4 linked regions of the Pelodiscus sinensis genome follow. The protein of the gene in region 1 binds, or shares a complex with, the protein of each later gene. Links are inferred from orthologs where the notes say so. Each region holds a gene or a part of one and is shown on either strand. Other genes may lie near its edges. The genes, in order: PRPF4, LSM7, LSM5 and LSM8.

Region 1 (6,847 bases):
ACACTGCCGAGACTCAGTTTGTGTAACCCAGCTCTCTCCCTTTAGGCCCCAAATAAGTGACGGAATTCCAGCCCTTCAGCTGACCATGACCTCACTCAGGCCTTACTTACCCTAACTTACCCAGTGACTGATGCTGCAGAGACCCTCAATCAAATGCTGAGGGTGCGCTGTTGGCCCAGGTAATCCACGGGGGTGTGAGGAGTAAGGAAAGGCCAGGGAAGAAGTTTCTCCTGCTGACCTCCTACAGTGGGGACATTGTGAAAATATGACTTTAGCACAGCTAGAGCTGATGTACCTTCTCACGTAGCCGGAGTGGTGGATCTTACGTTACATTTCTCCCCAGCATAGACCTGGCCTCAGAGAACTGCTGGCCATGCAGCTAGTTAACCCTAGCGTTGCTCATTTTATCTCAAACTGTGTATTTTGCTGGTCCGCCTCCGCCAGAAACCAATCCACGTAGGGGTATATTGTTTGTGACCTTGAGTTAAGTCACCATGATTGGTGGCCTTCACTCTCTACCGCAAACACCCCGCAGCATTCTTAAAATTCCTATCAGCTACAGGCTAGTCCCTCTGCCATTTAATTATTTACTGCTTCCATTGGCCAAGTCAAACTTCCCGATCAGAAACCCCCCACAGCAAGTCATGCTTCCCAGCCAGGCTATTGCACTGTTTGCAGTACGTGGAGAACGAGATTGGATTGGGAAGGGGTTCTGAGCCTTCCACCTCAGCACGGCAGTACGAAAGCAGCTATGGTGTGATGACTGAAATGAGTTGAAGTCTAGCTCATTTCTTAGTAAATTAGCAATGCATGCACCAGCCATTGCCACTGGCTCCTTGCAGCACACCCGCAGGAGCCAAGCACTTGACAACTTGCAGAGTCTAGGGAAGCTTGCCCTGCCTCTCCCTAGTGTGGGGAGAAACCAAGTCTTTCACATACCAATGCCCAGTCCATTACACTGCACCATTTGGAGCTGGGCTTTCAAGAACACTGAAAGGACTGCTCTAGGGAGGCAGAGCTTTGCCTCTGTGCCAATCCCCATGAGGCAGTGGCCATGGTTGACTCCTGTTTTTGTCCCATGCAGGAGGCCAATCTGCTGTTAAAAATTTTCTGTTTGCCTTTAGGAGCCCCATGTGCATTTTCTGATATGTTGAGTATCTCATTTAAAAAAAATATTTATTTAAAACAAAGTGGCTGGGCAGAGAGATCTCTGGAAATGCAGTAATCAGTCAAGTTAAAACACACCCACTAGTCTTTGAAAGAGGCAAACACTTTCCCTTATTGAAGCCCGAGACTCGTTGGCAAATCCGGGCCAGTCCCAGCCAGCTCTAGAGCTATGCAAACAGCCTTTGAACATCTTTGCCAGAACAGTCTGGAACGCAACCTCAGAGTCCAATGCTCAGCTGCCCACAAAGTAGCAGGCCCCCTAAACTCTAGAATTCAAAGCTTCCGAACTGGGAGGAACGGTTGCTGGGTTTGGGTTGAGGTTTGTAACCGATCCGGTCATTTATCATTTGTTCTCGGCTCTTATGGTCATTGCTCAGACCAATAGCTCCTTCTTCCTCGTTGGCTCCCACTCCATCCACCTCTTCACGCTGCTTCTTACGACTCTGCCAAAAAAAAAAAAAAAAAGCAATCAACTAAAAATAAGGACAATGGAAAACTAGAGCTCTTCCATCAAAGGGATCTTAGCAGTGTCGAGACATCCATTTCAGTTCTGACCACTGACCTCAAAACTGTGAAGGCAGGAAAAATGGTAGATAAGCTGATTTCATTCCAGGAAACCTGCTTACAGACTGAATAAATTCCCTGGGCATTTTGCATAGCCATAAGGAGGGAAATACATTGTTCTGTAAGAGTTAATACACAAGTCACGGCATTCAGACACCTCCCTACCTACATAGACACAAACGGCTACCAATTCACAGAGCTGATGCTACCGTCACACAGGGGCACAACAAGTTAAAGGACTTAGTCAAGCCAAGTCTTATACTCCACTGTGACGGAAATTCAACTGCTCAGGATGTTTAGAGAAACTAACTCAAAATGGGGGGACGGAAGGAAGGTTGGGTGTGTGATAGGTTGCCCCCTGATGTAGTAGGATACTAATAAGCCCCAACCTATTCTGCCAGCCTGGGCACCCTTTAATCCTGTCTTGCTGAGTCAGACTCTTAAACCTCCTCCAGCCTGCGCCCACACACAGGGCCACATCCAGTTGCAGAAAAACACAGACACTGAGCTCAGCAGTGGGAAGACTCAAGGAATTTGCCTCATCACTCAGGTACCCACCTTCCTTGGAATGCAAACCCAAGAGGATCTACCCTCTCTCAATGTGGCATGCAGAGCCTCTTACCAATTTCACAAACTGCGTTTCACAAGAAATAAAATCAAGTTTACTGACTAGAAAGGGTAGATTTTAGAGTGAATGTAAAGGACAGCACACAGAACAAAGATTACTGAGCAAGTAAAATATACAGACTCGATGCACTAAAGACACAGGCTACAAATAGTACTGTCTCACCCTAAATGTTATCTTGGGCAGATTGCAAAGATTCTTGAAAGTCAGTTACAGTAGCCTGCAGCTTAAAACTTCAAGTATTACTACTCAAAGAAAGTCACCCTTCTAGCCTGGGCTCAACTTGTTGCACCTCAGTTCAGTCCTTGTTTCCAGATGTGTCTGGGAGGCAGAGAACTACAATGTCATTCTCCTGCCTCATAGCTTTTGTATATGCCATTACATCTGCCAATGTAAATACTGTGTTTGACCCCAATAGCTGTAGGTCAGGGATGAGCAACTATTTTTTGCTAGGGGCTACTTAAAACATTTTGTAAGTGGCCTCAGGCTACTCCAGAAGGGGCGGGGCTTCCAACTGAAGGGGCAGGGCCAGGATGTTTCTGGGCTTCCCCACCCTCAGACCATGATTGGCCTGGGGGTGGGGGAGCCCGGAGGCACCCATGCCCCTGGCACTGGGAGGAGTCTTCCCGCGGAGGCTCTTTTGCCCACCCCTGCGGTTGGTGCATGTATACAGATGGGCTCTGTCTACACGGGCAGTTTCTTGTGCAAGAACAACTGTTCGTGCGCAAAACCTTGTCTGCTGTCTGCACTGCGCACGTGTTCTTGTGCAGGTAAATTCACAGCACAGCGTCGGAAAACAGCTTCTTCCGGACGAGTTACTCCTGTCCCCTCGAGGGACGAGCCCTCTTGCGCAAGAGGCCGGTGTCCACAGGCAACGGCAGAAGCCCTGTGGCTAAAACGGCCATGGGAGCTCCCTGCGCAAGAGCGCCCAGCTGCCAGGGATGCGCTTGTGCGAAAGCGCCCGCCGGTGCAGAGCGGCCTGGAGCTCGCGCAGCGATCGCCCCGCAGGGACATCACGGCCGCTCCCCCCCGCCCCTCGGGGCCGCCTGCGCGTGCGGGAGAGCGGGGCCTCGCCAAGGGGGCCGGGCCGGGGGGGGGGGCGGGGGGCCGGGGGAGCCGGGGGGGGGGGGCCGGGCGGAGGGAGCCGGGGGGGCGCCGGGGGGGGCCGAGCCGAGCGGGGGGGGGGGGCCGGGCCGGGGGAGCTGGGGGGGCCGAGCCGGGCCGGGGGGGGCGCTCACCTCCAGCTCCTTCCGGGTGCTCTCGAACTCCTCGATGTCGTCCAGCTTCAGCTCCAGGCGCGTGGGCTTCCGGCGCAGCATCGCGGGGGGGCGGAGGGGTCAGCGAGGCGCGACCAGGGCGGAGGGGGGGAGCGCGCCGATCAGCTCCCGCGCCCCGCGCCGGCCCCTCCCGTCAGGCCCCGCGCACCTTCCGGAACGCCGGCCTGCCCCCGGAAGCACAAGCGTCCCGCTCCTCCCCGGGACCCGGAAGCGGAAGTGACGCCTGGCCCGGGGCTCTCGCCCCTCCGGACTGACATGGCTTCCTCGCGGCCTCCCGCCCTGCGCGGCGCCCCGGGGCGGGCGGCGCCTTCTCCCCAGCCGGGCCCGGCTCCCTCCCCGCGGGTAGGGCCCGCTCGGCCTCCTCTGCCGCTTCCGCCGCGCAGCAGCCCCCCCCGCCCCCTCCGCACCGGGCGGCCCTGGCCTTTGTGGCGGCTTCTCTCTTAAGAAAAGGAGCCGCCGCCGCCTGCTCTGCGAGCCCCGCGCTTACCTCGCCCGGCCCGCTTCCTGCCAGGGCTCGCTCCGAATGTCCAGTGCCTGGGGGTTACTTGAGCCTTGAGCGCAAGGGCTACTCGGGACCCTTTCAGGCCTCTGGGTACGCGCTGCTTGGCAGCCCTCCTGGGCACATGCCCGGCACAGTCCATTCAGACCCATCTGTAGGACTAACTTTTTCAAATACCGTCTTGAGTTTTGTTCCACCAAAGGATTGAGAGCCACACGCCAACTGGGGGAAATGTCAAATAATTGGGACCATTGAGGGCACTCTCATTGCAGAAACAAAAAAGCATGTATATGTGCAGTTATGCCAGAGGTATTATGAGATCATTGGAAATGGATTCTTTATTTAGGGAATAGAATGTTATAATGTGGTAACTAGTTGATTTGACTTTTGTGTGTATTTTGGAAAAATTGGGGAGTAAAGTGAGGCAGTCAGGGTGTCAGTGAGGTGGATAATAGAGGGGAAGGAATTTGCTGAATCCTTCATGTTCATAGTTACATTTCCCAGTAGTCTGAGATCTTTGTTTTTGAAGGTCTTAATTATTTGTAAGGAGTGTAATTTTGTTACACATAGTAGCTGGACTCTATTGAAAACATTGTCTGCCTTAATCGTGATCTGCAAATTGGTTTGTGTTCTTTATGCACTACAGGCAGTCCCCGGGTTACGTACAAGATAGGGACTGTAGGTTTGTTCTTAAGTTGAATCTGTATGTAAGTCGGAACTGGCGTCAGCCGCTGCTGAAACTGATCAGTTTAAACCGCGGCTGAATCTGGACGCCAGTTCTGACTTACATACAGATTCATCTTAAGAAACCCAGGCGTCCCCAAGTCAGCTGCTGCTGAAACTGATCAGCGGCTGATTCCAGGAAGCCTGGGGCAGAGCAACTCTGCCTCGGGCTTCCTGTAGTCAGCCTCTGGTCAGTTTCAGCAGCGGCTGACTTGGGGATGCCTGAGGCAGAGCAGCTGGGGTGCTGCTGGGTTGCTCCAGTAGCGCGGCTCCTCAGCGCTACTGGAGCAACCCAGCAGCACCCCAGCTGCTCTGCCCCAGGCATCCTGATTCAGCCGCTGCTGAAACTGACCAGCAGCAGCTGAATCAGGACGCCTGGGGCAGAGCAGCTGGGCTGCTGCCGGGTTGGTCCGGAGCGGCGCTGCGGGACCAACCCGGCAGCCCCCAGCTGCTCTACCCCAGGGGTAGGCAAGAAAAGCCTGGTCTGCTGGGGGGGGGGCACTAGCTGCACCTCCCCCACCCCTCCAGCAGACCAGTAAGACGGGGGTGGCTGGACCACCCAAGTCCTCCACGGCTTTGCTCCATCTCCCTGGCCTGCTGACTTGGGAGACGCGGAGCAAAGCTGCAGAGCACGCGAGCAGCGGGACAGTCCAGGCGCGCCGCGGCTGTCCCACTGCGGGCGTGCTCCGAGGCTTTGCTCCCCATCTCCCTGGTCTGCTGGTCAGGAGACGGGGAGCAAAGCCGCGGAGCACGCCCGCAGGGGGACAGCTCAAGTGTCCCGCTGCGGGTGTGCTCTAAGGCTTTGCTCCCCGTCTCCCTGCAGACCAGGGAGACAGGGAGCAGCTTTTCTCGCCCCAAAGGACGGGGGCGGCGGACCGCGGCGCATCTGGGTGTCCTGTCCTCCGGGGCGAGAAAAGCCCCGTTCGTAACTGCGGATCCGACATAAGTCGGATCCGCGTAACTCGGGGACTGCCTGTAGTCCAATGGATAAAGAATGATTAAAAAGGATGGATTTTTAAAGTTTGTTTTTTCTGCTTGTTTTTTTACATGAGAAATTAAGGATGTATCTAAGTTAGAAGGCTCCCTGATGGAGAACTTGTGAAATTATGCAATTGTACTGTCATAATTATGACATAAGATCAGAGATGCTTGAGCTTTTAAATTGAGAAAGGATTACTTTTTAAAATTTTTCTTCTGTTTACTTTTGATAAAAGCTATTTAGATTTGAAGGCTAACTAATGTTTTGAATAATGAAATTCCTTGGTTCAAAATACCTTATACTACCCAGAAGTCCCCCAGCAAAGCCAGGGAAGGGCAGACTACATTCTCAGGGTTTGTTTCCACATGGACTTATTTAGGAACATCTCTGTGCGCATGCTCAAATTCTGGAGCATTACATGTGGTGTAATGCTTTAACTGAATCCGGAGGAGCAAGGCGTCATTGGTATTCCAGAATAAGAGCATTCACACAGATTTAATCAGCATCCTACCTTAATCTCAATTAACTTTGAAGTGTAGCCCCAAAGGAAGAACCTAGCAGGGGAGCAAAAGGCTAAAGAAAGCCTGAGAGCATATTTGGTAACATCATAAAGAAGCAGAAAAGATCACAAGTCCAATTTTTAAAAACATCCTTGGCTTGCTGCCCTCTAATTCTACTTTAACACATTTTCAGTGAGGAATAGTCTTGCTGTCCAGATGAATCTTGTATATAAAATGTAAGGGCTTCTTGCCTGGCTGACCTTGTTAACTATTTCTCACTGGGGGATGCTGTCTCCTGCAACTGAGGAGATTGCTGAATTGCTGCTTTGTATCTGAATAAATATCAAATGAGTCTTTTGAAATCCTGCCTTCATTCTCCAGGGAACAAAAAACAAACTGTTGGAGGACAGCGATGCTCCACTACCCAAGAGATCCCATATCTTCTATGGCAGTTTGGAGGAGAAGGAGAGGGAGCGTCTTGCCAAAGGAGAGTCAGGACTGCTGGGGAGAGAG
Region 2 (6,900 bases), on another chromosome or scaffold:
CCATTCACAGTCTTTATTTAATCCTGAGCTGATGGTGTCAAACTTGCAGATGAACTGTAGCTCAGCAGTTTCTCTTTGAAGGCTGATCTTGAAGGTTTTTTGCTGCAGGATGGCTACCTTTAGATCTACTATTGTGTGTCCAGGGAGACTGAAGTGTTCTCCTACAGGTTTTTGTATACTGCCATTCCTAATATCTGATTTGTGTCCATTTATTCTTTTATGTAGGGACTGTCCAGTATGGCCGATGTATATAGCTAGATTGAATTAATCTCATAGACTCATAGACTTTAAGGTCAGAAGGGACCATTATGATCATCTAGTCTGACCCCCTGCACAGTGCAGGCCACAGAATCTCGCCCACCCCTCTTAGAATAATCCTCTCACCTATGTCTCAGATATTGAAGCCTTCAAATACTTTGAAGGCCCCAACATGCAGAGAGTCCTTCAGCTGTGATCTGTGCCCAATGCTACAGAGGAAGGCGAAAAACCTCCAGGGCCTCTGCCAATCTACCCTGGAGGAAAATTCCTTCCTGACCCCAAATATGGCAATCAGCTAAACCCTGAGCATGTGGGTAAGACTCACCAGCCAGACACCCAGAAAGTTCCCTATAATGAATGGTCAATTAGTTACCAAGATCATGTTATTTCATCCAACCATCCCCTTATCATAGAATCATAGAACTGGAAGAGACCTCAGAAGGTCGTCAAGTCCAGCCCTCCGCTCTAGGCAGGACCAATCCCATCTAAATCAACCCGGCCAGGGCTTTGTCAAGCCGAGACTTAAACACCTCTAGGGATGGAGACTCCACTACTTCCCTAGGTAACCCATTCCAATGCTTCACTACCCTCCTAGTAAAATAGTTTTTCCTAATATCCAATCTGGACCTCTCCCACCACAACTTGAGACCATTGCACCTTGTTTTGCCATCTGTCACTACTGAGAACAGCCTCTCTCCATCCTCTTTGGAACCTCCCTTCAGGAAGTTGAAGGCTGCTATCAAGTCCCCCCTCACTCTTCGCTTCTGCAGACTAAACAGACCCAAGTCCCTCAGCCTCTCCTCGTAGGTCATATGCTCCAGACCCCTAATCATTTTGGTTGCCCTCCGCTGGACCCTCTCCAATGCGTCCGCATCCTTTTTGTAGTGGGGGGCCCAGAACTGGACACAGTACTCCAGATGTGGCCTCACCAAAGCCGAATAAAGGGGAATAATGACATCTCTGGATCAGAGATTATCCTCATTATCTCTAGCCTGATTCTGGCCTGCATATTTATACCTGCCTCTGGATATTTCCACTACATGCATCTGATGAAGTGGGTCTTTGCCCACAAAAGCTTTGCCCCAATACATCTGTTAGTCTATAAGGTGCTACAGGACTCCTTGTCGCTTTTGCAGATCCAGACTAACATGGCTACCACTCTGAAAGTAGAGAGGTAGATCTCAGAGTCATCATAGAGAAAGTAGCTGAATTTGTGTTTGCAAATGAGACAATTCAGAGATAAACTGTTTTGGGAGACAAGAAAGGGACCAAAAAGACAGCCCTTTAGAAATCCTCCCTCCCCTACTGGGGGGTAGGAATGAAGATCACCCAATGGACACGAAGGAGCAATTAGAGAGGTGGAAGGAGAACCAGAAGAGCACAAGGACTTAAAAAAAACCCAAACAAACATGGTCAACTGTGCCCAAGGTAGTGGGTAAAGTTAAGGAGCAAGAGGACAGAGTACCAGATGTGAGCTTTGGCTAGGAAAAATCCATTAGAGATTTTGGAGAGAGCAATTTGGACTGAGTGGAAGGGGTGGAAGCCTGACTGGAGAGTCTTGGATTGAACTGGAGAGGAACTTCAGGCAGCAATTGCAGACAGGCATTCAATGAGCTTAGAGAGGGACAGAAGAGAAACAGAGCAGTCACTGGAGAAGCAAGTGGAGACAAGAGTGATATTTTTAAGATGGAAGAAACTGATATTTGCTTGGTGAGGCAAGAGAACCAGAAGAGAGTCAGGGGTTAAGTAGAAGAATAGGGGAGGAGGGGGGAGGGAAGTAATAAGAGTGACCAGCAGGGAGATCACAGGATGCATTGGTGTTACTGGAGTACATGGGAGGAATTTAGGAGACAAAAAGCAGTTAGGATTACAGCTGTGGGATTCATTATGTTGCCAATGAATTATGATTTGCAAACCCGCATCATTTAATTTAAAACCTACCTTCCCTACCACCTTGGAATTTTACTCGAATCGTTTTGTCAATATACTTTGAGAGATCCAAGATGCTCTCTTTCTTTTTCTTCTCTTTATCCTAAAGAAAAGGCAGAGTGACATAACTAAAAAGTAAATTGGAATCCTCTCTTGGTTCCATGTTTAATAATTAATAATACATGATTAAGCGTTAGACAGACAGTGCCAGAATGCCCTGCTTAATTACAAGCGTGGGAGTCAGCATCGCCTAGAGGTGCCTTCAAATGACGGATTAGCCAGAGAAGCTGAGCATCCCCATAAACGACCTTTGTTTGGATCTAGATGGCCCAAAGGCCTCGCAGGATGCAGCTTCATTAGCCAGGCCCGTCAAATCAAAGGTGGCTGGAGGGGCGGGGCGGGGAGGGGGTGCAGGCGGCCCCCAGGGGAACAGAGGGGGCGAGGGAGCACCCAGGCCTGGCAGAGGCACGGGGGGGGGGGGCGCACAGGAACGCTCGGGAGTCAAGGCAGGACGCCAAAAGCCCCCCCCCCCCAACCCGGGGTGCGAGAGAAGCCCCCCCGCGAACCGCACAACAGCCGGGGGGGGCCTGGCCCAGTAAAACCCGTCTCCAAGCGGAGCCCCCCCCGCACGCTCGGTCCGGGGGGGGGGGCCCGTTCCCGCTCCCCCTCCCCGCTTCCGGTCCTGAGCCAAAGGCTCGCGCCAGGGCCCCGGCGCTGACCGCCAGGCCCGAAACTCACCGCCATCTTGCGCGTGCCAAGCTCCCCCGCCCTTTTGCGCTTTCACCCCGCCACTTCCGGAGGAGGGGGGGGGGGGTCACGGCCCTGCCCTCTGATTGGCCGCTGCGCCCCCTCGCAGAGGCGGGACTTCCGGGCGGAGGGGCCGGGTTGCTGGGTAACGGGCCCTGCTCCGGGACAATAGGGGCGGCGGCGGGATGGTGGCGGCGCTGGCGAGCCGGGTCCGGCCCGGGCTGCTGTTGCTGCTGGTCAGCCAGGTGAGTCCCCCGCGGGCCTGGGCCCCGCCCCGCCCGCTCCGACGTGCCCGGCCCCGGGCCCCGCTCGGCGAGCGAGCGCGGCCTTGGAGGTGCGGGCCCGGGCCGTGCTGGGGAGAGCGCGGCCCCGCTAGTCGCTGCAGCCCGAGGGAAGCGACGTGCCCGGCAGCCGGCCGCCTGCGCTGGCATTTCCCGGGGCTGGACTCCACCGCTGCGCCCGCGCCCTAGTGCTCCCCCAGTCCGCACATGCCCCGCTAGGCCGAAGTGAAGACTCCTCCGCCCGCCGGCGTGGGGCTGGTGTTGGCCCAGACGCAGGGTTTGGGGCGGTCTTGCTGCTTTCGTTGCAAACGGACAAGAAAGGCCCCGGCTTCCCTGGGGGGCTCGTGGCTGGGAGCCCGGATCGGAAGCTGGGGCCGCTTTGGGCCCTTCTCTCAGCTGGGAGGCAGAGCCACTGCTGGGAGCCCAACAGCCTTGGCAGGGAGCTGTCAGTGGGGCTGAGAGACTGGGCTCCCAGCTCCCCACACTGCCCCTCCTAGGCTGGTGGAAGCACTCCTGATTAGGGCATATGCCACTGGCTCAAGGAGGGTGGTATGGACGTGCACCATCACTGTAAGCTGACTTGATATGTCCGTTTCGATTTGTAGTATAGGACATACCATTTAGCATTGACAAAACTGTGACTTCCTCATAGTTCCTGAAAACAGCTTTCTCTTCCCATTCATAGGAGTCTTTACCAGTATACTCTGCAGAAAAGGGGGTGTGGATCAGAATACTTAATCGTGCATAAGCGCCAAGTGGACATTTTTTCTTGATGTTATCATGTGTCCTGAAATTCTCAGTCTTTGTTAAATTTTCTAACAGGCACCAGCTTGCTTTCTCTCATGTTACCCCTCATGTTCGGAAGGACTTTCCCCAAAAAATCTGCACAACAAACTTATTATTCTCCTACAAAACCCCCTTAAAAATACTCCTTTGCTGTGGTGCCTACAAAAAATAAACTTGCCAATGGTTATGTTGCTGATGTGTTGAGACCACTGCTTAGGTAACTAGTGGTGTCCCCTAGGGGTGTGTCCTGGGACCAATCCTATTCAACTTATTTATACATGATCTGGAGAAAAGGATTAACAGTGAGGTGGGAAATCTTGAGCAATTTAGTATCATCTGCAAGTTAATTAAGACCAAAGCAGACTGTGAAGAGCTTCAAAAAGATCTCACCAAACTAAGTGTCTGGGCAACAAAATGGCACATGAAATTTAATGTTGATGAATGTAAAGTAATGCACATTGGAAAAAATAATCCCAAATATACGTATAATATGTTGGGGACTAATTTAGCTACAGCTACTCAAGAGAAAGATCTTGGAGTCATTGTAGATAGTTCTCTAGAAACATCCACGCAATGTGCAGTAGCAGTCAAAAAAGCAAACAGGATGTTAGGAATCATTAAAAAAGGGATAGAGAATAAGACAGAGAATATGTTATTGCCCTTATATAAATCCACGGTATGCCCACATCTTGAATACTGCATATGGATGTGGTCACCTCATCTCAAAAAAGATATCCTGGCATTGGAAGAGGTTCAGAAAAGGGGGAAAAAAAGATTAGGGGTTTGGAATGGGTCCCATATGAAGAGAGATTAAAGAGACTTGGACTTTTCAGCTTAGGAAAGAGGAGACTAAAGGGGGTTATTATAGAGGTCTATGAAATCATGCCTGGTGTGGAAAAAGTAAATAAGGAAAAGTTATTTAATTGTTCCTATTATAGAAGAACTAGGGGTCACCAAATGAAATTAATAGGTAGCAGGTTTAAAACAACAAAAGGAAGTTTTTCTTTACTCAGTGCACAATCAACCTGTGGAACTCCTTGCCAGAGGATTTTGTGAAGATTAGGACTTTAATGGGGTTCAAACAAGAGCTCAGTAAGTTCATGGAGGTTAGGTCCATCAATGGCTATGAGCCAAGATGAGTAGGAAAGGTGTCCCTAGCCTCTATCTGGAAATGGATGACAGGAGAGGGATCGTGTGATGATCACCTGTTGTGTTTACTCCTGGAGCATCTGGCATTGGCCACTGTCTGCAGACAGGATACCAGGCTAGATGGATCTTTGGTCTGACCCAGTATGGCTGGTCTTATGTTCTTATTTTATTTTCTCTGTTTTCTTGTATTCACCTACCACCTGTCTGTAACCATTTGTTGTCTCTTGTCTTGTACTCAGACAAGTCTGGGCAAAATAGAGCCTGCAGGTGCTGCGGGGAGCCTGAGGCAGGCTTCCCGCTTATAGAATCATAGAGCTGGAAGAGACCTCAGAGGTCATCGAGTCCAACCCCCTGCCCAAAGCAGGACTAAATCAACCCAGCCAGGGATTTGTCAAGTTGAGACTTAAAAACCTCTAGGGATAGAGATTCCACCACCTCCCTAGATAACCCATTCCAGTGCTTCACAGCCCTCCTAGTGAAATAGTCTTCCCTAATATCCAACCTAGACCTCTCCCACTGTAACTTGAGACCATTGCTCCTTGTTCTGCCATCTGTCACTACTGAGAACAGCATCTCTCCATCCGCTTTGGAACCTCCATTCAGGAAGTTGAAGTCTGCTATCAAATCTCCTCTCACTCTTCTCTTCTGCAGCCCAAACAAACCCAAATCCCTCAGTCTCTCCTCATAGGTCGTGCACTCTAGCCCCCTAATCATTTTGGTCACTCTCTGCTAGACCTTCTCCAGTGCGTCCACATCCTTTCTATAGTGGGGGGAGGAATAGCTGAGTGTTTTGAGCCTTGGCCTGCTAAACCCGTGGTTGTGAGTTTAATCCTTGAGGGGGACATTTAGGGATCTGGGACAAATCTGTCAGGGATGGTACTTGGTCCTGCCATGAGGGTAGGGGATTGGACTCAATGACCTCTCAAGATCCCTTCCAGTTCTGTGAGAGAGGATGGCAGATGGATGACTCAGTCCCTCTTAGGAGGGAGTCCCCAACCACCACCACCCATCTTTTTCTTTTGCCTCACCTCACCCGCATGTTGCTCAGAAATACGGCTGTGGGGTGATTTTACTTTAAAACCTGAGCCCGGAGGGGGAAGGATTTAGGAACTGCTTTCGCCCCCAGTGCAATCCTATTGACTGGCTTCTGGCCTGTATTTCCCCTCAGTGGTCCAGCAAGTACCCATTCTCAAGCATCCAGCTCCCCAGCTGTTGCCTTTCTCGGTAGAGATCCTTGTTTCTCTCTCCTTTGTGACTGGAATATTTCCAGGCTGCTTAGTTTCTTGTCTTCCCTGTGTATTTTCTAGGACAGACAGGTGTGCTCAAGGACAAGTGTAATTGCAACAAATGTTACCCTCCACCACGCTACCCGTGCAAGCCTACTTTAGTCCTAAGGTGAAAAGCATTCTAGAGAGAACATTTAAAAATAACAGAACTAGGGATGTTAAATTGCATTGAATCTACTAGTCGATAAGGGGGGAAACTGCAGAACTAACCCTGTTGTTGGCTCTGTCTTTTAAATGTATTAAGACCCACCAGACTTGTCCCTGGTCCCACGCTGTGCCTCTGCCTCCCCTGCTCCCTGCAGAGATGGTGCTGGGGAAAACCAGCTATTAAGCCGACTTCCCCCCGGCTCCTGCTCCCCATCCTTGCTGCCTCTGATAGAGGCAGCGGTGTGGGGGAGTAACTAATCAAGTCACTACTTGACTATACAATACGCTTATGCTTACATCCCTAAACAGAATCCACG
Region 3 (7,820 bases), on another chromosome or scaffold:
ATCACTCAAAACATGAAAAACTGACAATATGAGTAATGTTGCAAGGTAAGATAAATGCCTTCCTATCCTGGATTATACCTACTTTTTAACTCTTTATCTGTGGTCAAAGCAAAGAAGCAAACATTAAAACTAGTGGGAAATTCAACATGGATTTCAGATTTTAAAAAAAAAAGTCAAGGGTGTCAAACTGGAAACATTTTAAAAAACAAAGAAAATGTGACAGTCAGTCTGTGAAAATGACCTCAGTAGCCAATCCCTGCCCCCAAGAAAACTTACGTCAACTAGTTAAATGTAAAATGCTAATGAAGGAAAGGCAATGTATAGCTTTCACGCGACTTAGCAGGTCAAATTTAAAGTAGGGATGTAAAGAGTTAACCAGTTACTCAGCAAGCATTGGCCTTAGCAGCATGCTTACCTGGTAATTGGTTAACTGGAAGGTAGGGCCAGTGCGAGCAGCCCTCCTGAAGCGGAGCTGATTGGAGCAATCCCCCATCCGCAATGCAACAGAGCCAGCTAGAGAGGAGCCATTCCAATCAGCCACAAGCAAGCCCCCACAGCTTTTCTTTCTACTTTACTTTTGCTATAAATGGGAAAGAAAAAGAGAAAAGCACACAAATAGCCACACACACACAAAAAACAGAAACAATACTTACAACTCTGTAACATCCTCTAATACCATGTCTGAGGTCTACTGTCAAGGAAAACAAAAAACTAAAACATCCTTGATTTAATAATTTTATATTTCCATTTTATAAAAACAATGTAACTTAATTTTTAAAATAACTTCAGCTAGTGTGTAATATTTATCCATGCAAAAAGTAGAAGCATCTGTTCTAGCTAGGGATGTTAAGAGGCAAATATTTAATTAATCCAGTAGCCAATAGAATTTTTATTGATTACTCGATTTGTTGATAGGCAGCCCGGCTCGCACCAAGTGAGACACCAAGCCCCACTGCAGCTCTTCAATTTAAAAGGTAGTAGGAGCTGGGCAGTCTGCCCCCTGGTTTCTACTGCACTTTAAATTGAAGCCATAGCAGGGTTTGGTCCTGCACCTAGCGCAAGCTGGGACTCAGCCCAACCCTGTGCACCAGGGTCCCCGCAGCGAGTCAGGACCTTCTACGCACAGGGGCCGCTAATGCAAAGCAGCATGTCTGTGGCCAGGTAACCCCCCCTACCCCTGATAGAGACAGCACCGGCTCCTGCTCCTCCCTTCCCCATCTTGCTACCTATGTTCTAATAAACATAGAAGCTTCAGGGGGTAGCCAAGAGTCTGTACAGGTAAACTGAAAAAACAACAGATAGTCTGGTAGCACTTTATAGACTAATAAAACATGTAGATGGTATCATGAGCTTTCGTGGGCACAGCCCACTTCTTCAGATGACCGGAGTGTTGGATGTCTAGGACCAAAATAAATAGGGGAGACCAGGGGGGTGGGGTGTGGAAGAAAGGAAAAAATGGGAGGGGGAAGGAAGACAAGAAAAGGCTTATAAAGTAGTTGACTACTCCCTTACATCCCTAATTCTAGCTACCGGATATCCAAACAGCTAAATAATTAAGCTTACTTTAAAAAGAAAAGTGGGAATATTTGCCATTTACATTTTAAAAAGATACTGACAAAGTCATCAAATCCTAGGAGTGTGCCAACTATTTCTTTATCACTCTTCATCACAATATGAATACGTGAACCTATACATTTGTCCACAAGCTCTGCAAATAAGAAAATATTTTATGTAAGATTACATACAACTTAAAACATATATTAAGTGATCATCTTTTTAACACATTCCCTTTAAAGAACATGGTAAACCTGTACACTTTCAAAACGACTGCTCAGAACACTTACAAAAATCTTCTAGTCCCATACCCATAGAAGAGTTAAGCCAGCCTTGGGATGAGCCCTGAACCTCAGCACCCCCTCTTCTCTCCTTTCCCGGCCCCATGGGACTAGAGCTCGAGGGGAGTGAAGCTAGTGTCTTTCTCCTCCTTCTCAGTTCGGGGCCAGGTCAATGAGAGTTTCATTTATTTAGTTTCTCACTTGTGTGGCCCCCCCAACCGATTTTTCTAAGAGTCCCTCCCCCCTCTCGTTTCAGGGGCAGGCCAGGCCCAAGCCACCTAAAAAAAAAAGTGAGACAAGAGATGCCTGTTACTTGTCCATTAACGGAACCCTGCAATCAGAGTCCCAGGCAGGACCCTACTCACATCACGGGGCGTGCCCCGCACAAAACAAGACTGTGATGCCCGGCACCCCCCGCCACAGGCGCAGGGCAGAGCTGGCCACGGCTGTGTAGCGCGGGCTCGCCGCCGGAGCGACCCAAAGGAGCCCGCGCGACACCGCAAGGTGAGGCCACTTCCACTACTTCCGCCGGGGAGGGGCCGAGGGGGCAGCAAAACCCACACGCCGGAGCCGCCGCGGCCCGGCCCCATCAGATCCCCGCGGCGCCGCCGCTCTGCACCGACGTTCCATCGCTCGGGGCGGGCTGCGGCACAACCTGGCCCTGGCGCGCGCGCGGCCCCTTCCGCCCCTGGGCACAGACGTCACCGCCCTCCACGTTCCCTCGGCTTTCCAACGGCGGTAACGGCCCGCGCGACCTGCCTTCCTCCCCCCACCCCATCCGGAGAGGAGCCTCGGACTGCCCCTCCCCCACAGCGCCACCGAAAGCCGCCTACAAACAGATCAGCCTTCCCTCCGCCCCCGATCGGGGAATATCAGGGCACCCCGCGCCGCTGCGGGCCGAGGAGGGGGGAAGCTAGTTACCGAGCGGCAGGAGCTGAGACGGGTTGGTCGTGGCGTTAGCCGCCATATTGAAACCAGACCTGACCAATCGCCGCTATCGGCGGGTGGAAGAGAGAGGGGCCTCGGCCTGATGGATTGAATAACTCTGGGAGCCTCCCCCCGCAGCCCTAACCAATGGATGTCAGAGCAATCGTGCGCCCGCTTGGACGTAGCTGCAGTCTCCGGGCGCGCGCGCACAGCTGGAGCTCCTAGGCTCTGGCTGTAGAAGGCAGATGCCAGAGCCTGCTTTTCAGAGATGTTGGGCAGCATCCTACCCTCCCACTGCCTCCACGCAAATTCAATGGAAAATGGGCTTTTGGCAATGAGACTCCCTGTCCAGGACAGTTCCTTTTTTGTGGTAGCTGCCTCCGGAAATCTGCACAGGTGCACCACACATCCTGCCACCTGATGTATGGTTGGATGGGCTCAGGGTGATACTGGACATCCCAGGTTTTTATCCCTCACAGGTGGCAATACCACCTCCAATATGTAGGCCGGCCTACACTCAGAATGTCAATTGGTATACGACATCTCTCAATTCACTAGGCTGATGGGAAAATTCTAACCACCGCCTCTCAGGGAAGTAGTATAGGCAAAGCCTAAGCATTGTGGCCTTACTTTTGCATCTGGTAGCACCAGCAGGATAATGAAGGGCTCAAAGCAAATCTTATTTAATCAATTCCAGTGGCTACTGTAAACTTCAGGGAGGGTAATGAAGACCATATTTTATAGGGAAGCGTGACTTTGTCTTCCCTAGTTTTCAAAGTTTTTACATATGTGTCACCTTAGGTTTTCATTTCTTGGTTTCCCAAAACTTAAGTTAGGTGCTCTTCACATTCTCCTACGGCATAAGATGCCACTGGGCAACCTTAAGTCTGCATTAGCATTGGGTATTTAATTTGGTTAGCACTAACAATATGCATATACACACAATCCCAACTTAAAAGAATTCATGAACTAAAGATGGGACAGATACTCCATTGTGCATCGGCATCCAAAGTGCCAATACTTGAAGAGTGATGATGGTCCTAAATTCCGTGACTAGCCCTATTGACTGTGAGGTGCTGCACACCTTTCAGGAATTGTTGATGCTCGGCCACTTACAATAGCAGAACCAAAAAGACAACAAAAGTTTCAGAGAAAGAGCGCAGTGGAAGGAGCTTTTAAATCCTTTTTTATGTTCTTGTATGTTTGAAACTTAATTTTTAATTCCTTTTTATTTTGTTATTTTTGTTTTAGTCCTTCTCTTTTTGCGATTCACAAATATTTTTAAACTTTGCCTTTTCCACACTGGAAAGTTTATGAGAAAAGTTTGGTCAACATGGTGCCATCAAAAAAACTATTTCAACAGAGTGTGTTCACGCTTGTCTGTTGGTACCAGTGCGTTCTGTCCAGATAGTATCAACTTACATTACGGAAGACAAACTGCACTTTAGAAAGCCATCCTAGAGTCTTCCATGCCATCTTCCCACTGGAAATCAGAATGTATTGTGGGATACCTGCACACTTCTTAGCCCTGGTCTACTCTAGGACCTTATTCCCAAATATCCCCACCCCCCACTTCCCATCCCTGGTCAAATTTATAAGCTGTGTGTCCACACTACCAAGCTCGTTATTTCAAAAGAATGAATCACGGAATTCAAACTCTGTATTCAGGGGCGGACTGGCAATCAAAATAGGCCAAGGAAATGGGTTGAGAACAGCCGACTTTTTTACTTTTTCCACGCACACTATCTTTGTTCGTTTACACCATACTCGCACTGTTATTTATTGTCAGTTACGGAAAACCACAAACCCACAATGACAGATGATAACAGAACTCATCCAACCACTGCGTACTCTCTACTCACCGGTCAAGACTCAAGCGACTCCATCTCTGATTCCACCATTGCACAAAGCAGGCCTACGCATTGCTGTCATGCACCATCGTACATTGCACATTGCACGTCCGTTCTGTTGATTTCAACTGTAATGTGACGTCATTCACTTTGGCTCAAAGAAACAAAGGCCGAGCCAGTGTAGCAGCCCGACCATACCCGCATACACACACAGCCTCAGCCGCCTCAGATTTATTCAGAAACATTTTGAATTTTGGTATTATAGATTTTTTGGTCTTAGAACAGTGGCCTCCAACCTTTTTACACCCAAGACCACTTTTTAAATGTCAAAACAAGCCAGGATCTACCACTCCATCCTTCCCCCAAAACTCAACCCCTTCCTTGAAGCCCAGCCCTCTCTATTCTCCTCCTCTCCATTACCTGCTATCCCCAGCCCTTATACAGCTAGTCCCTAAGTTACAAACTCATCGACTTACAACCGTTCGTATCTACGACCAACCTCCTATACAGCTGGAACCCGAGTTACGAATGAAATCCGCACTTATGAACAGCGCAGCCATATGTAAGTGAATGTAATCCGACTTACGAACAGATTGAGTTATAACCTAGAGTTTGATACGTAACTCGTTCGTAAGTCAGAGACTGGCTGTACACTCTACACTGCCGGGGGTTTTTTTTCCGATTCTTCTGTAGGAAGAGGTTTTTCCAATATTTGGCCTGTCTGGATGGGACCAAATGTCAGAAAAACCCATTCTTTTGGAAGCCCCTTTATTCCTCATGGAATGAGGCATACAGGGCTTGCCGAAAGAGCATGTTTGCTCTTCCACTAAAAAAAGTGGAAGAACAAACGCATCCATGGACGCGGAAGAGTTTTTCCGGGATATCTCTGGAATCCTGAAAAAACTCCTGGGCTGTGTCTACACTGGCATGAATTTCCGGAAATGCTTAAAACGGAATACTATTCCGTTTTCAGTTTTTCCGGAAAAGGAGCGTCTACATTGGCAGGCTGCTTTTCCGGAAAAGCCCTTTTTCCGGAAAAGCGTCTGTGGCCAATGTAGACGTGCTTTTCCGGAAAAGAGCCCCGATCATCATTTCTGCGATCGGGGCTTTTTTCCGGAAAAGACTACTGGGCTGTCTACACTGGCCCTTTTCCGGAACAGTGTTCCGGAATAAGGACTTATGCCCGAGCAGGAGCAGAATAGTTTTTCCGGAATAGCAGCTGATTTTGTACAGTAGAGCATCATTGCTTTTCCGGAAATTCAAGGGCCAGTGTAGACAGCTCGCAGCTTATTCCGGAAAAGCGGCTGATTTTCCGGAATAAGTGGCCCAGTGTACACACAGCCCTGCAGTCTAACTGTACCCTCACTGGCTTGAGACAGGATATGTGGGCTCTGGGGTGAGCATGAGGGATTTGAGTGTGGGAAGGGGTGAGGGGTGCAAGCTCTGGGAGGAAATTTAGATGCAGGAGGAGGTGGAGAAGGGGATGCTGGATCAGGGAGGGGGCTCCAGGCTGGGGAGTGTTGGGGTCAGATGAAGGGGTGTGGTACTAAGTAAGCCACAGGCTTGTGGATGTGAGGGTGCAGGAATTTGAGTTGGAGTATGTCAGGGGCTCAGGGCAGGGGGTTCCAGTGTATGATAGGCTCAGATCTAAGATCTGGGGGGGAGGGGTGTGTGTGCAGGAGTGTTATGATGCTGTGGCCAGATCGGGGCTGGAGGTTGTTGGCCAGGCTTCATTTTTAAATAAAATACTATGACAAGCACAAAAAGTTTCTGCATTGTCTTTATTGATGAGAAGGGCAAGTAACCTGTTTTGAATCAGGGGTCACTGACTCACAGAAAAGTCAATTGGGCCACACAAGTGAGATGCAAAAAAAAAAAAAAAAATCTCCTCCAAAAACCCCCCAAGCCTCACTAATGTGGCCCTAACTGTGCTGGTGGGAGCAGGGGACATGGTACTAGGGAAGGGTGCTAGTGGGTACTGGGGCAGGGGACAGAGTGCCAGTGGGGACCGGGAGCAAGGTGCTGGGGTGGGGGCAGGGTGCCAGTGGGGGCAGAGTGCCAGTGGGGGACAGGGGACAGGGTGCCAGTGGGGGACAGGGTACCAGAAGGGAACGGGGAATGAGGGCAGAGTTTTGCACCAGGGCACAGGGTGCCAGTGGGGGCAGGGATTCCCCCACACCCGTCTCCTCCCGGGACTCCTCTCCCGTCCCCCTCCCCCTGCAGAGGAGGGAAAGCCCCACTGCACGCCTCCTCCGCGGACGACTCCACCCTCCCCCCCACCAGAGAGGAGAGAAAGCCCCTGCGCGCACCTCCTCTGGGGACTCCCACCACCACCACACCACTTCCCGGTATGCCACAGACCTGGGGGAGGGGAGCAGCCACTGCACTTCCAGAACCCCCGGAAGTGGCACGTAGCTGCCGGACTTCTGTCCACCCCGCAGGAAGCCACCACTACCTCCATTGTCACTGGAGGTAGGTAGTGGGACTTCTTGGGGGTGGGGGAAAATCAGAGGGGGTCCCCCAAACACCTCGCGATCGACTGGTCGAGTCCTTGCGATCGACCAGTCAATTGTGATCAATAGGTTGGTGACCACGGTATTAGAAGCTTCACGGTAGATATTATGGTCCATTCAGATGACGGCCCACCGGGAAATTCCTGGTATCCCGCCCGCCTAGTCTGCCCCATTTGTTTTCCTGTTTTTCATAAGTAGTAATGCTATCCCCATAATGACTAGGTACACATCACCTCAGGATGGGATGCAGAGATAAAATTTCCCACAAGGGGAGAGGCTATTATTGATTTAGTCCTAAGTGGAGTGCAGGATCTGGTTCAAGAGGTAAATATAACTGGATCACTTGGAAATAGTGACCATAATATGATAAAATTTAAAATCCCTATGGTGGGAAAAACACCTTAACAGTCCAACACTGTGGCATTTAATTTCAGAAAGGGGAACTACACAAAAATGAGGAAGTTAGTTAAACAGAATTTAAAAGGTACAATGACTAAAGTAAAATCTCTGCAAGCTGTATGGAAACTTTTCAAAGACACCATAATAGAGACCCAACTTAAATGTATACCCCAAATTTAAAAACACAGTAAGAGAACCAAAAAAGTGCCACCGTGGCTTAACAACCAGGTAAAAGAAGCAGTGACAGATAAAAAGACATCTTTTAAAAAGTAGACGCCAAATCCTAGTGAGGAAAA
Region 4 (6,912 bases), on another chromosome or scaffold:
GAGACAACTATTTTAGTCATTCTAGAGATGTTTGCCTACTACATCAAAGGCCAAGGCAGGTTTGCTGTTACCGTATGTTCTGAACATGTGAGTAAAAATAATTTAGGGTTTCTAGGGCTATCAACCTGACATCTTGCATCACTACAGCTTTAATTTATAACATTAACTAATTGTGATTTGACTGGTTTAGAAAAAAGCAGCAGCTGTACTTACACATTATCTCCTCTAACAATATACAGTCCCAATACTACTTGTTCAACTCCTTGTGAAGAACTGAACACCCGTTCATGGCTTTCATCCAAAATCAAGTTGATGGTCTGATCAAAACCTTTGAGGGTTCCCTAAAAAGTGCACAAAAATTTTGAATTCCAATTATCTTTAAGTTTCTCATTTTAGGTCACAAGCATATCCCAGGTAGCAGTATATTATAGAAGAGTTAACAGATTTTATTCTGAGTTTTAAAGCTGAATAAACACATACTCTGTTAGAGACTGGAACTTGAAAACAGAGTCAGTTTAAGACAATTATTTACTATCATGTATTACAAGTAGCAAGGAGTTAAGATTAGTGTAACTTGAATATGAGTCACTTTTTTCAAGCATACTTTGTGCAGTAGAGAGCCCCTTACAAATAGCCAGTTTCACCATTTCTGCTGTAGTTTTCCTTGTTTGTTTTAAACTGACAGACTTTTAAAAGTGATGTCTCTTTTTATAAAAAAAATTACTTAGGTTCTGTATGAAAGATGAGAAATGTTCAAGATGAGCTGTTTCCAAGCTTTATTTGTTTGTAGCATCTGCCATTAGAAGTTGAATGTTCTGTTTTCTAAAAACTCACATACTCCAAGCAACACTATTTGCATAGTACTAATTTATACTCACCACAATCATTCTTCCATCAGAAGTAATAACTGCTACAGTGCCTAACAGTATAGTCAAGGAAATCTTTCAAAATATATATATTCACAGCTTGAAACAATATGTTAAGTTCAACAAAATCTGTAATATAAATTATGAGGCAAGAAATTAGACTCTGTTCCTTAAGAATTTCTTACTCAAAAAATTGTTAAAGAAATCTGTTAACTGAGTGATGAAATCAACCTCTGAAATTAGCAGTCATCTAGGTAATTTTTTTTGTTTGGTCAAACCAGCATCACACTGTTTTCCTTTTTCCCTAAAGGCTGGAGAACTATACAGGCAGTCCCCTAGTTACGCGGATCCGACTTATGTCGGATCCGCAGTTACGAACGGGGCCTGTCTCCCTGGTCTCCAGCAGACCAGGAAGAGGAAGCAAAGCGGCGGAGGCTGTCCGCTGCCCACGTGTTCCGCCGCTTTGCTCCCCGTCCCCCTGGTCTGCAGACCAGGGAGACGGGGAGCAAAGCAGAGCAAAGCCAAGGAGCCCAAGGGCAGCAGGACAGCCACGGCGTGTCTGGGCTGTCCCGCTGCCCCCGGGCTCCGCGGCTTTGCTCCGGACGCCTGTGGTACAGCAGCTGGGGCGCTGCCGGTTGGTCCCGTAGCGCCGCTCTGGGCGCTACTGGACCAACCCGGCAGCACCCCAGCTGCTCTGCCCCAGGCGTCCTGATTCAGCCACTGCTGGTCAGTTTCAGCAGCGTCTGAATCAGGACGCCTGGGGCAGAGCAGCTTGGGTGCTGCTGGGTTGGTCCAGTAGCGCCGAGGAGCGGCGGCGCTACTGGACCAACCCAGCAGCACCCCAGCTGCTCTGCCCCAGGCGTCCCCAAGTCAGCCGCTGCTGAAACTGACCAGTGGCTGACTACAGGAAGCCCCTGCCCCAGGCTTCCTGGAATCAGCCGCTGATCAGTTTCAGCAGCAGGTGACTTGGGGATGCCTGGGGTTCTTAAGTTGAATCTGTATGTAAGTCAGAACTGGCGTCCAGATTCAGCCGCTGTTGAAATTGATCAGTTTCAGCAGCGGCTGAATCTGGACGCCAGTTCCGACTTACATACAGATTCAACTTAAGAACAAACCTACAGTCCCTATCTTGTACGTAACCCGGGGACTGCCTGTATAGCAAAGTGGCCTTTAACTCAAGGCACTGATTGTTCAAATGTAAGGAGTCAGATGAGGAGGAACTAAAGGTTTATCCCACATTGCCCTCATGATATTTTCCTGTCCCATGTCCACTAATTGTACTCACAGAAAGCAGCAGACCCCCAAATATTGAGGAAAGCATTTTTCTTTGTCACCTGGCCAGTGTCAGCCACCCTGTCTAGGCTGACTCCCTAAAGAGTTTTGGTTATGCCCCCCCATCTCTGTTTCTGACTCTGGACTACAGATTCACTAGATGTAAGACCAGAATTGGATCATTAGAGTAACGAGTCTGATCTGCAGGTCCCAGCTCACCCCGTACTGACCATCATTTGTGCTGGGCACATTACTCCAAGTAACGAACAGTCTTCCCTTCAAAACACCCCGAGATGCTGATTCGGGCGCATCCCTGGCTGGTCTGTGAGACAATCACCCTGACAACTAAACGCTCCTGCCCTCGTTTCAAGCTGCGTGTTCAGCCTCGGAGCCCCGCCGGGGTCACTCTCATTGTCCCCGTTTTCCAACTGGGTAAACTGAGGCACTGGCAGCGACTTGCCCCATGGCACCTAACTGGGCAGAGCCAAGTCCCAGCTCAGTGCTCTGCCCACTAGGCCGCGCTGCCCCCACGCCAGGCGTCCCCGGGAGGTCTCTCAAGGCACCGTGAGCAGCAATGGCTCAGCCCCATCCCCGCACAGCCCGGACCAGCTGAGCCGGCCGGCACGGGGCGGGGAGCCTCCCATACAGGTCGCCGCCGAGACCCTCAGGGAAAGGGGGAGCAGGGCGCTGTAATCCCCCCCCAGCCGCCCCCGCCGGCGGAAGGATACGGTTGATGTAGTTCTCCAGCGCCGAGGTCATGGCAGCGACGGATCCGTCCCGCGCTCTCGCTAGCACCGGGCCCTCAACCGCTTCCCGCGAGACTTCGCGGGTTCCCGCGCCAAACGTTCAGAGACGCCGCTGGCTCGCCTCGCTGCGCACGCGCGCGCATGACGCCAGTTGGGGGGGGGGGGGGCTGTGTTTTTTGCGGTGGCCGCCAGGCGTTTCCTGCGGCCGTTACAGTCTCTGGGCAAAGCGCTGGCCCCTCCCCCGCGAAGCCAGGCGAGACGCAAGGCTGAAGGAGCTGGGGGGCGGGATGGAGGCTCCGGGTAGTTGGGCGGCGGGATCCTGGCCACCCCCCAGCCGTGTGCTCCAGCCCTGGCTGCCGGTGCCGACTCTGGGCTCCGGCACGTCGGGCTCCGGGTTCAGCTCCTGGGCCGCGCGGCGCCCGGCTTGTCTCTGGGCTCGCTGGGCAGGCCCCGCCCCACCGCCTTGGCCAGGCGGCAGCAAGTTCTGACCCAGCCTCCAACTCCAGCTTCTGGCCCCGGCCCGGCCCGCGGGCACTGACCCCTCCCCCCATCTCATGGCAGCGGGCGCCAATCCCCGGCTCCAGACGGCGGCGGGGCTCAGCCCCCCAACCTGCATCCATCACCCCATTGCCCCGGGCTCCCGCTGCGCCCTCAGCCCAGCATCTGTTCCGCCATGGGCCCCACTGCCGCCCCCACCGCCCCCCTCAGGCCCTCGCCCCTGTCCAGGGTTTAATTAGTCCTGAGGAAAGTGCTGTTGTTAAACATTCAAGTACCGCTTTTCTCAGCAGACACACTAGTTTGCTGGGAAGCTGTGAAAAGTGACACTTGTATGTAGGTTAATATCCCTTATCCTTTTTCACAGCCTCCCAGGTGGCTATCAGGTGTCTGGCGAAAAGTGATTATTAAACAAATATAAATATCACTGATCACAGTACTTGTTTATTATTACGTCTGCGAAATAACCCTACATACATACATTGCAATGATCTGGATGTGCAAACGTGTGTATATTAATTTGTTTTTTCTTAAATTCAGAAGTGAACTTAAGCTTAAGCTCTGGCAACAGCTGGCTGAGCTGCAGCAAAAGCCAGCAAGGAGCTATTCAAAGAGCTGGCAGGGACCCAGGTTTCCATAGACAGTACCTGTAATAAATTTTAAATTACTTAAATCCCTGTTTACATTAATTTCTTATTTTATGAAAGATGTTAGCATGACCACCAGCAAGAGTTGATGGCCACAATCTGAGGCCACCAAAATGCTTGTTGTGAGAATCACTAGCCTTGACTATCTTTTAGGAAGAATTCTTGCTATGATGGAAGTGTTACAGAGGTACCTGAATGTTATTGGAGGCAGAATAAAACTCTCCTCTTCAGTATCAGGTGGCCTCAGTATGGACACTAAATGCAGGCCTTGGGAGCTCTGTGTTGTAGCCTTACTCATTTTCTTATCTGTGTATCTCAGGCAGGTAGCAGCCTCCTGTCAGGCTACATGCTAACTTGATCTCAGTGACCTAATTGTGGCACATTCGGAGGGGGAAAAAACAACAAATGGTCTGGTAGCACTTTATAGACCAACAAAACATGTAGATGGTATCATGAGTTTTTGTGGGGACATCCTACTTCTTCTGATGATGGGAGTTATGAGTTGGGGATATGAAAAATCGAAATAAATAGGAGAGGGGAGGGGGAGAAAAAGAAAAAAGGAAGGGGGGATGTGAGACAGAGCATCATTAAGTATCTGGAGAATGGGTACTTAAACCTAAGCAGATAAAAAATCAAAGTCAATAGATAAGATTGCTAAGACAGGAAGGATACCACTCAGAGAGCTGTTAGCACCTTCAATGGATACTAAGTAGGTAGTGTCCTAGCCAGCCCATATCACTATTGGGTCCATTAGCATGTGAACTGAATTTGTGGATGAACTGTGATTCCAGTTCTTCCCTATGTATCTGGCTTGTGGAGCTGGCCTGTGACAAGACAGCCGCTTGCAGGTCTGTAAAACTGTGGTTAGGCAAACAGAAATATTCACTAACAGGCTTCTCTATGTTCCCTTTACGTATATCTGATATGTGTCCATTGATTCTTTCCTGCAGAGACCGTCCTGTTTGTCCAATATATATTGCAGTGGGGCACTGCTGGCATTTGATGGCATAGATTAAATTACTAGATGTGCAGTCAAATGACCCTTTGATTTTGTGGCTTATGTTGTTTGCTCCAGTTATGAATTCGTCAGTGTAGATATGTGGGCAGAGTTGGCATCTTTTTTGGTCGCAGGGCTGGGTTCCTAAAGGCTTATGATGTGGTTGTGTGGCATAGTTATCAGAAAGAATACGTTTCAGGTTAGGGGTTTGTCTGTAAGCAAGAATAGGTTTTTCTCCTAAGGCCTCTGAGAGTGAGGGATCATTTTCCAAGATGGGTTGTAAATTGTGTGTAATGTGTTGGAGGGGTCTGAGTTGTGAACTGTAGGTAACAAGAAGAATTCTGTTATTTTCTCTTTTGGGCCTGTCTTGAAGTAGTTCATGTCTGGGTATTTTTTTTGTCTCTGTCAATTTGTTTTTTCACTTCCCCAGTATTTCAGTTTTAGGAATGCTCTGTAAAGATCCTGTAGGTGATTGTCTCTGTCGGTGGGGTCGGAGAAAATCCAGTTGTATCGTAGGGCTTGGCTGTATACAATCGACTGAAAAATGTGTCTGGGATGGAAGCTGGAAGCATGAAGGTAAGTGTAGCATTCGGTGGATTTATGATATAGGGTGGTGGAAATTTGTCCATTATTTAATTGTACTGTAGTGTCCAGGAAGTGGATTTCCCTTGTGGACTGGCCCAGGCTGAGGTTGATAGTAGGGTGGAAGTTGTTGAAATCCTTGTGGAATTATTTAAGAATGTCTTTTCTGTGGGTCCATATGATGAAGATGTCATCGATGTAGTGTACGTAAAGTAGGGATATTAGGGGGCGAGAGCTGAGGAAACGTTCAAGGTCAGCCATAAAGATGTTGGCATATTGTGGTGCCATGCGAGTGCCTGTGGCTGTGCCGCTAATTTGGAGATAGAAATTGTTTCTGAACTGGAAGTAGTTGTGGGTGAGAACAAAGTTGCAGAGCTCTGTAACCAGGTGTGCACTGTTGTTATCGGGGCAGAGGCATAGCGAGGGTGTTATGCGCCATGGGGCAAAAGCAAAATTTGCATGCCACCCGCCACCCTTCCACCACCACATGACAGGGGCCCGAACCTGGTGCACAGCTCAGCCCGACGGGGGCGGGGGAGCTCGTACCACATCTTTCCCTACCCCCTCCAGTTTGGGGCGGGCACTATCCCCCCGTTGAAGAAGAAGGAAGGTCGGGCTGTGGGTGCAGAGGCAGGAAGGAGGCTTCAGCAGGCAGTGGTAGATAGAGGAGGAGCAGGTGAACAGAGGTATGATAGGGGGAGCAGAATGGCAATTACCCTCCCACACCTCCTTTGCTAAGTCAGTGAACGTAAGAGATTAATTTACCTGTTAAAATAACACTCAGAAAAAATCTTTTAAATAAAACTAACACACAACACGAGAATTGCTCTCGCTTTCTTGAAGCAATAAGTAGCCTAAGGCTGAGGATACACTGCAAGCGAGGCTTTCTGTCTGCCACGAGGACTTTTTCCTTCAGGCTTCTGTGAGATTCTATCTTTAAGTAAAGGAGAGAGGTCTCTCTGAGCTGCTCTTCCAAATTTCACACAAGCCATTCAGCTGAAGCCATAAATATCAAGAGTCAAAGCCAGCTTTGCCTTTGGCAGATTGCCTCGCCAGGTGTTTACAATCACAGCATCCGAACATGTATAAGACTTTTAGTTGAGAAAGTCATATTTAATCCCAAGTCTCTGCTATGACTGGGAGATGTGGGTGACCTATAGAAAACACCAGAATTTTCTTTGGAAAATCCACAACAAAACGTGGGAGGATTGATCATCTTGATAATGCCAATTCCTTTACAATTGAGGCTCTGATCATCCAGCATCAGCTGAGGTAGAGCGTGCACTACATGCACATGTCAGATACAT

What was found.
Region 2: PRPF4 (region 1) and LSM7 share a complex: the UniProt entries of both Homo sapiens proteins name them as parts of the precatalytic spliceosome. The link is inferred for Pelodiscus sinensis from reciprocal best matches to the Homo sapiens genes PRPF4 and LSM7.
Region 3: PRPF4 (region 1) and LSM5 share a complex: the UniProt entries of both Homo sapiens proteins name them as parts of the precatalytic spliceosome. The link is inferred for Pelodiscus sinensis from reciprocal best matches to the Homo sapiens genes PRPF4 and LSM5.
Region 4: PRPF4 (region 1) and LSM8 share a complex: the UniProt entries of both Homo sapiens proteins name them as parts of the precatalytic spliceosome. The link is inferred for Pelodiscus sinensis from reciprocal best matches to the Homo sapiens genes PRPF4 and LSM8.

The regions. Positions count from the first base shown.
Region 1 is NC_134732.1:1,348,820-1,355,666, forward strand, and holds the start of PRPF4 (U4/U6 small nuclear ribonucleoprotein Prp4), read left to right. Parts: upstream 1-3,843; 5' UTR 3,844-3,888; coding exon 3,889-3,975; intron 3,976-4,172; exon of another isoform or gene 4,173-4,432; coding exon of another isoform or gene 4,433-4,441; intron 4,442-6,715; coding exon 6,716-6,847. Other genes in the region: anaphase-promoting complex subunit CDC26, read right to left, coding at 1,434-1,610, 3,595-3,675. UniProt on the Homo sapiens protein: Plays a role in pre-mRNA splicing as component of the U4/U6-U5 tri-snRNP complex that is involved in spliceosome assembly, and as component of the precatalytic spliceosome (spliceosome B complex).
Region 2 is NC_134729.1:26,010,748-26,017,647, forward strand, and holds the start of LSM7 (U6 snRNA-associated Sm-like protein LSm7), read right to left. Parts: upstream 3,021-6,900; 5' UTR 2,932-3,020; coding exon 2,926-2,931; intron 2,291-2,925; coding exon 2,200-2,290; intron 1-2,199. Other genes in the region: SPPL2B (signal peptide peptidase-like 2B), read left to right, coding at 3,120-3,179. UniProt on the Homo sapiens protein: Plays a role in pre-mRNA splicing as component of the U4/U6-U5 tri-snRNP complex that is involved in spliceosome assembly, and as component of the precatalytic spliceosome (spliceosome B complex).
Region 3 is NC_134712.1:171,653,543-171,661,362, reverse strand, and holds the start of LSM5 (U6 snRNA-associated Sm-like protein LSm5), read right to left. Parts: upstream 3,014-7,820; 5' UTR 2,803-3,013; coding exon 2,757-2,802; intron 2,693-2,756; exon of another isoform or gene 2,669-2,692; intron 2,590-2,668; exon of another isoform or gene 2,397-2,589; intron 2,391-2,396; exon of another isoform or gene 2,201-2,390; intron 1,709-2,200; coding exon 1,613-1,708; intron 682-1,612; coding exon 654-681; intron 1-653. UniProt on the Homo sapiens protein: Plays a role in pre-mRNA splicing as component of the U4/U6-U5 tri-snRNP complex that is involved in spliceosome assembly, and as component of the precatalytic spliceosome (spliceosome B complex).
Region 4 is NC_134711.1:44,603,711-44,610,622, forward strand, and holds the start of LSM8 (LSM8 homolog, U6 small nuclear RNA associated), read right to left. Parts: upstream 3,013-6,912; 5' UTR 2,898-3,012; coding exon 2,867-2,897; intron 920-2,866; coding exon 879-919; intron 342-878; coding exon 214-341; intron 1-213. UniProt on the Homo sapiens protein: Plays a role in pre-mRNA splicing as component of the U4/U6-U5 tri-snRNP complex that is involved in spliceosome assembly, and as component of the precatalytic spliceosome (spliceosome B complex).